Oryzias latipes: one gene and its partner. The protein of the gene in region 2 interacts with the protein of the main gene of each other region in a biochemical or structural test. Links are inferred from orthologs where the notes say so. Each region holds a gene or a part of one and is shown on either strand. Other genes may lie near its edges.

Region 1 (4,227 bases), on a different chromosome or scaffold from region 2:
TAGATAGAAAAAAAAAAAAGCCATCATCCTTATTCCGTACAAAAACACTCGCTAGTTTCAACAATAGTCAAATAAAAAATGCAAGAAACACTACCTAAGTCTAAGAAATATAAGGTGAGGGCATGCATAAGGTAACTTGAGAGGCTAGAGCAGACAATATTAAAAGCAGAAGGGTTCTAAACCTACACAAGGCCTATAACATCAGAGTTGGGCTGTTTGTAGAAAGCCTTGTCAGCAATCCTAGCACACGGGCAGGCAAGAAGGCAGGAAGAGAGGGAGGGGAGAGCAGTTAGAGTGAGAGAAAAGTTAGGGGGGTGATTTTGAAGAACTGACACGAGCTCTGATGAGGAGGTTTTTCATATAGCTCAATATTAAAACATGTAATTAGAATTCAAATTTTCACAATCGCAAATGTCTGTTTCAAAGAGCCGTAGTATAACAAGGAACATGTCCTTTCTGCTGTTTGCATTCTTTCAACTCCAGCAGCTTCCTGTGTTTGTTTCTTGGTATTAATATCTCATCAGAAAACTGTCGGTCAGTGCTTTGAGGGGAAAAACAAAAAACAAACAAAGCACAATAATTGAGCTACAGATGCAGAATGATACCGTGCCAGAGATGGACAGAGTCTGTTGGAAATTGTGAGAGAAGAAAAGGTTAACTTGGGACAAGATGAGGAACACTTGATGCAGTTTTTGTGGGTGTATATAGATCAAAATAAAAATCCAGTTCTGTACATTAAACAAAAAAGTAATTCATGTTTAACTGATTCTAAGAGTCTATGACCACAGATTCATTCTAAGGATCATTTCATCTGAGAACAACAGCGTTTTTCTGAACATCTTTTGGTTATAAAATGGAAAGCTTTAGTGTTAAGTAAAGTTTCATTAACAGGCGTAACCTGTTTGCACGTCAGCAGAGGAAGGGACCGACCCTCACCTGTTGTTGGCTTTATTCTTCTCCATCTGCTCATTCTGGTGTAAATGCCAGTCTTCCAGCTCCTTCTTGGCCTTCTCCCTCCACTCTACCTCTGCTGCCTTAGAGGCTGAGTCTAGTTTGGTGAGAAAAAAATTATAATAATAATTTAAAAAAAAGCTATATGATAGAAGAGTAAAACTGTGTTGAAACTGTAATTTTCGTACAAGTTCTAACAACTCATACTGACCTAATGCTTCAAGGCGGGCCTTCTGTTCCTCCCTCCACTTGCGTAAACTTTCCGGTTCTTGTCTCTGAATATCCACCTGGGCGATGGCTGCATAGCTGTCAGTTGGGCCATTGGACTCCTTTAAGAACAAAGCGAAGCATTTGCTTAATCGCACACAGCACATCAAGGATCATTCATGATGAAACCAAATCTTAAATTCTAAGAATTCATGACTTTATGTGCGGGAATCTTGTCATCCAAAAATACGACAGCTGTTTGACGATACAAAGAGACGGGCCTTTTATAAGACAGAAAGACTTCAGCTCACCTGAAATATTTCTCCATTTACTGCAGCGATTTCCTCTTCAAAGCCTTCTAACATGATGGGAAAAGAAATGAATCAAGATTTGAATGAAAGCCGTCTCCTTGGAAGTCGCTCCTTTCTTCAGCCCGCTCTAGACTGAACTGAGTGTTAGCTTCAGTATCAACTTCTTGAAACGGTTGAGACATCAGGAATGAAGCAGTACCTGTCTGGGCACTGATTTCATCTTTGCTCCACAGACTTATAAAAAGAAAAATGTTCAAGTTTAAACAAAAGCCAGGGAAGCATCTGATGAGGTAGTAGTTATACACATTGATTCTACACTTATTTAGTCTCTTTTTTAAACAAATATATTTTTCTATTCAAGTTACAAATGATGGACGGGTTTATGACATTAATAAGCCTAAATGTTTTATGGAAAATTGGACAAAAACTTTGAGAGGTTACAGAAATTGACATTACACGTCAAGAGTATAGTAGCAGTGCTAAGAAGATGTCATTTAAATTAGCTTAAACAACATGTTCGACACATTTGTTGAAAGTTATCACAGTTTTTAATTACATTTGACATATGTTGACATAAACAGGTGGATGTTAAACTGAATTATGGCTAACTAACTGTCTCCGGTTTGAAAAACAAACCATTTTGCATCTGCTAGCAAAGCTACAAAGCTAACGTTAGTAGTTGTGTTCATTTTTGGAGAAAAAGCAATTCAACTATTACAAACTTTAAACTTGTTCATTGTTTCATAAAATTGTGATTGCGCTTCATATGAATGGGGTGATTTGTTGGCCAGTTTATCAAAATCGCTGCAATTATTTGCTCAACAAACCAGATAAATAGTACGTTTGAATGCTAGCTAATGTTAGCATTAGCTCAGACATCAACTTACCATAGTTTACGGTCTGCGGGTGAGACGCCTGGACACTGTCCGCGTCTTCCAGCGCCCCAAACCCGTCATTATCATTTTCAATCCCCGCTATCTCACTCTCTTGTTGGGCCAGAAAAGCTGCAGCCGGGTCCTCTTCAGTCGGGTGTGCTCCGTTGTCAGCCATCTTTTACAAAAAAAGTGCAAGTTAGTTTAACAAAGCAAGCCCGGTAGCTTCAGCAAGCTTTAAAAAAAAAAAACTATACCGGAGTTCTACAGGATTGAAAATCTGGATTGAAGTAGTGACTGAGCCACCAACTAATCTTGGCAAGACACTGCTTAAACCACAATAAGCAAATAAACCGTATGTAACAAACAATAACAAAAGGCTTCAAGCTAAGGCCTACGGTGGTGATTCATGATTTCTCCAATACTGTCATGATAGAACAACGGCAGCAACCCGGAGCTCCCACGTTTGTTGGAGTTTGTCTCCATCTGCTGGCGATACATGGAATTGACCAAAAAGGCAGTTTGAATGGTTTTGCAGTTTTGGTTAAATTTGTTTACTTAAGTAATGTCAATTATGTTTAGATTTTCAACATGTCAGATAACTGAGCAAAACGATGGTTCAATTCAATTTTATTTGTATAGCCCACATTTTTGCCTGTAATGTTTGTAAATAGTTTTTTAAATTTACACCACCTTATTTGTTTATATTTATTTTGTTTTTATATAATTCTATTTTCTTTTATGATCACACAAATTGCACAAATTTCCCACGTGTGGGATCAATAAAGTATTTCTGATTCTGAAAACAGTCGTCTCAATGGGCTTCGTGGGCTAAAATCAAAAGGATCATGAGTACATAGAATTCAATGGGAAAATTCTAAACTGAACTAACTAAACAGACTAAACTAAACTGGGCATCCCTGCCCTTAGACCCTCTTTCGCAGGTTTTCGGTTAAAGGTTTAATCTAGTGTCAGAGCTGGTTAGTTTTAGAATACGCTTGAGGCACATATTATTGACTTCTGCTGCAAATCAGAGTCTAGTTGGTGTTAGGAGGCAAAGTTGTTAAAAGTTTGCCTTTTTCATGAGTAGGTTTCTTTTTTAAAACTGGATTCTACACAAATGTTGCCCTGTTTAATCAGAAGTAACAGGAGAAAAAAAAGATGAAGGCAAATGATAGTTAAAAAAAACATGTTTGGCTTTATTGCATTTTCTAATTCGATTCAATCTGCTGCAGCAGGAGAATCTTATTTGGCACAGGGTGTATTTTATTTTGAAAGAAACTAGCATGTGGTGTCTATGATGTGCTGCTGTTAAAAGTAAACCAAGTTACTTTTTTTTAAGTAACTTTTTTACTTTTTTTTTACCCATCAAAATGCAGGGAAGAATTTCCCCATTGTGGGATAAATAAAGTATCAATTATTATTATTATTATTATTATTATTATTATTATTATTATTATTATCAAAGGCTGCCTGTCAGGTGTATTTAAAATAGACACAGAGACATCCACAGGATTGTTTCGAGCTTATTTTTTCTATTGTAATTTTAACTTCTTCCAAAAAGATTTGTATTTAGTGACACTCCCACATGCAATGCTTCAATGTGCCTTTAAATCCACATTTTGCACAAACATCTGGTATGTTATTATTATATTTATTTAGTTGCACTTGTGTAGTATACAAACGCATTAACCATTTAACCCTTGTGCTATCCCAGGCACTTTGACATTGGGAGTTGGGTCATCTAGACCCACTAGACAGTGCTCTGAACCTTTTTTCTTCAATGATTTGTGATCTTCACTGGCGTCCATGGATTACATGAAAGCTTTCCACCTTTATCCACCTTTGTCATGGTAGGGAGAACACATCAATGTAAGGATGGGGTC
Region 2 (3,571 bases):
TTGTACTACGGGCGTAAAATTCCAACTGCAGATATTGTCATCAGCTTGTGTCACCTTTTGCAGCTACTGGGGCGATATCCTTCTGATGGCCTTGCCACCAGTGCGACCCAGACCAAGGGACGCGTAGGCGTGTCACGCCTTTGCGGCCCGTGCAGCCACCTTAAGGGACGTCATAAAAATGGAACGTACCATCGTCATGCGTGTGGTAAGTGTATTGTGATGTACAGTCAGGACCTTAAATATTTAGACAGAGATATAATCTTTCTAATCTAGTTTCTGTACATTACCACAGTGAACTTTTTAAACCCAATCCCTTCATTTCATGGGCGTGAAATGAAGGGATTGTGTTTAAAAAATGCTTTAGTTTTTCATGTGTTTATGCAATATTTTTGTTCAACCCATGAAATAAAAGCTGAAAGTCTGCACTTCAATGGCATCTGAATTGTTTTATTTAAAATTCAGTGGTTATGTACAGAAACTAAATTATAAGGATGTGTCTCTCTCCAAATATTTAAGGTCCTGACTGTATTCAGTAGGATAATGGAAGTTATGCTCACTTATGACAAATGGGTGATGCTGTTGTATGGTGTCCTTACGGCAAACTCTAGTCATTAGTACGGTGCGTGCACTGGCCCCTTAATGATATTATGAGAAAGACATGTAAGTGCCCGTATGACATCTGTAAGTTGTCTACACAAACTACACTCTGATTTTCCAATTTCCTTATTTGGGTTCCTTGCGCAGGAAGCAAATCCATATGACACCCCTGCATCTCAAAAATGTCATCCTTAGATTTTGTTTGCTGCAACCTGTGGCCCACAGCATGCCCGTTAAAAAAAAGTACACGAACAATTTCACTCTGCGGGCTACCAGGCAATCTTCAAAGTTTGCAAGTGCCCCGTACAGATTTGCCCTTTTTTGGCCCGCAGATAGCCTGTATCCCCCCGTAAGGGCAGCGGTGACTAATCCAAAAACGACTGCCACAGAAGCGACTGGGCACCACCTGGAGGCGGACGCTCCGCCTTCAGATGTTTCTCGGGTCAAATCAAAGCTCTGTCCAGAGGTCTCCGAGCCTCACAAACCAAGAGCAGTTCCACCCAAACCATGCAGCCTGACATAATTGTTTTTTTGTCTGTCTGCCACATATGTGGACATGTTGCGACTCGTCTCAATTTATCCAGAGGGAGGGGACAAAACAACGACTCTGCTTCTCCTGTTTTGGCTCAGATTCAGCAATGAGGGAAAGAATGGAAGCATTTTGTGGTTCCCATGGAGGAGCGGGGCGATTATCCATGTAAGGGCAAAGACTGGGCTGGTTATGTAGACTTGTTTATAGAGGCATTTAGAGACGTTTACATGCAAATGCTTCAAAGTGTTGACATGAAATCTAGTTCTACTGCAGGCCAGATGCACGTGGAAGCCTGGCGGCTCTCCCATCAAACCCCCAGCAGCCAGAAAAAACAGCGGAGAAAGCAGTGGACCTGTTTAGCTGGAAGACCTGTCGTTCTCCAAGGAGATTTTTTTTTCTTTTTCTGTTCAGTCAGCGGGGGGAAAGCGGCAGTTTTTTTCAAATAGAGTTCTGGAAACTGTGTGGAAATGGTGCAGAGACTTTCAACTGAAATAGCAACGAGTGGGAACAGAAAATTCCAAGTTACTGGCTGACTGACAGAAATGCATCGTGGGATTTCAACAGAAAGACTTGCATGGCCCACAGAGGACGGCAACGCTCACCATCAGATTTCTCCACAGGCACCATGTGAGAGGTGGCACTGCCCTGGACAATGGTTTCGCCCACCAGGTGGCCACTCCGTGTAACTGCTCGCACTAGTTCCAACACGGCTGGCGGAGAAAAGAGCAGAAATGAGCCATAGCTCTTGTTTTTGCGGTTGTCCTGGGCATTTGATGTTTAGTTTCTCACCTGAGTTGTCATCCATGAAGGTCTTTATGGAAGAATTCAAATGGTCCAGTGAATCCAAAGAGGCTTGACACCTGGATGCCAGGTAGTCTGCAGAACGGATGAGCATATGAAAGTGTGCACCGAAGATTGCTCCAGTTTTGAATGGATCAGTCTCTGCCTCCCACCTGCAGAGCTGGTGCAGCTGATGTGAGCCGGGTCGTCTATCTGAGACAGGGAGTCCTGAACGATCTTCTCTGCCTCCTCCACTGCGCCTCGCAGGCTTGACCAGCGAGCCGCCACCAGCTGGCTCTCCAGCGCTTGCTCCCTGCTTTCCTGTAGACATGAACATTCTCCATCAGGCCCAACGTAGGCCCTTGCTAAACGGCGCCTTCCTCTGGTCTGGAGACTGTCGAACCTTCTCGTTGAGCTGATTCTGGAGGGCCTCTGCGGCTTTCACCCCACTCTCTCTCTCAGTCGCCAGTGAGCTCTGGGCTCGCTGCAGCTCCTGTCTCTGGGCCTCCAGCTCTGCCTCCACCTTCGACATTGACTGCACCAGCTCGGCTTTCTCCGACTCCAGAGCTGCCATCTGGGAGCTAAGCGCCTCTCTGGACTGCACAGGGAACAGAACACTGTTAAAACAGGTGAACCTAAGATTAATCTGGGAAGAAGAAGAACTAGGGGTGTCTTGCAGTTCCTCTCGAGGCTCATACGGCCACCTCAAGGAGCCTCATGAAAATAATGGGAGGTTTTTAAGAACTGAAGACACAAAGAACACAGCAAAGCTAGTTTTTCCCTTTACATTAAGTGTATTTATTTCTGAGGAGACCTGCTGAGATGAGGTCACGGAGGATTTCAAGGTATCCAGCTCTTCCCGGGTGCACACCAGCTCTTTCTGGATGTCTTCAAGCTGTCGTTGCTGTTCCCTTTCCTAAGAGCGAGACAGCATGGCGTTCACAGACCCCACGGCAGACAACAGCATGGCGAAAGAGTCATCCCATCCTCACCTGCCTGTCTGCCACATCCTGCACAGCCTTCACCTTCTCCTGCATCTCCTTCTTCAACACCTCCACTTCATCCTGCGCGGCCCGAGCGACAGTCATCTGTCGGGTCACCTCTGCGTTCTAGAGTGGACACAGAAAGCTTGTGATGGGGATGTGACCTCATGTTGAGGAGCAGAAGGCTCTCCTGAAGGTGAAATGGTGGGATGAGCTCCTCGGACCTTCCTCAGCAGGTCTGCGTGACTCTGAACCAGCTCTGTGTACTTCTCCTTCAGTTTGGTGTAGCGCTGCTCGTTGGCCTGAGCCTTTTCTGGTAAACACAGACAAAAACGAGATTGTAACTCATTTTAGGAGCTTTTCTTTGAGTCCGTTTGATCTGAATTATTACGTTTTTACCAAAGACTTTTACCCTCTTTGTCAATAAAATGAATAAAAACGAACATATGAGCACTAGCCTTACTCTCAATCTCGGTCAGACTTCTCTGCTCCTTCTCCGTGTACTCCCGGACCCTACGCACGTCGTCCAGCTCTGCTTTCAGGAACTCGCTCTCTCCAACCGCTTGCATCCTCAGGTGGCTCTGCTCGGCGAGCTCCGCCTCCAGCTCACTGACACGCCCCCTTAGCGCTTGGCAAAGGCGTCCGCTCTGGTGGAAGGGCCCACAAAAAAGGCTGCTTT

What was found.
Region 1: the proteins of hip1 (region 2) and cltb form a complex in vitro, tested with the Homo sapiens proteins (2 studies listed by BioGRID, with this or other methods). The link is inferred for Oryzias latipes from reciprocal best matches to the Homo sapiens genes HIP1 and CLTB.

What each region holds. Positions count from the first base shown.
Region 1 is NC_019868.2:19,549,708-19,553,934, reverse strand, and holds the start of cltb (clathrin light chain B), read right to left. Parts: upstream 2,801-4,227; 5' UTR 2,599-2,800; intron 2,520-2,598; coding exon 2,357-2,519; intron 1,517-2,356; coding exon 1,470-1,516; intron 1,281-1,469; coding exon 1,163-1,280; intron 1,049-1,162; coding exon 937-1,048; intron 627-936; coding exon of another isoform or gene 606-626; intron 241-605; coding exon 187-240; intron 1-186. UniProt on the Homo sapiens protein: Clathrin is the major protein of the polyhedral coat of coated pits and vesicles.
Region 2 is NC_019871.2:22,388,631-22,392,201, forward strand, and holds part of hip1 (huntingtin-interacting protein 1), read right to left. Parts: intron 3,540-3,571; coding exon 3,356-3,539; intron 3,206-3,355; coding exon 3,117-3,205; intron 3,019-3,116; coding exon 2,902-3,018; intron 2,826-2,901; coding exon 2,724-2,825; intron 2,508-2,723; coding exon 2,313-2,507; intron 2,231-2,312; coding exon 2,083-2,230; intron 2,006-2,082; coding exon 1,919-2,005; intron 1,840-1,918; coding exon 1,732-1,839; intron 1-1,731. UniProt on the Homo sapiens protein: Plays a role in clathrin-mediated endocytosis and trafficking. Involved in regulating AMPA receptor trafficking in the central nervous system in an NMDA-dependent manner. Regulates presynaptic nerve terminal activity.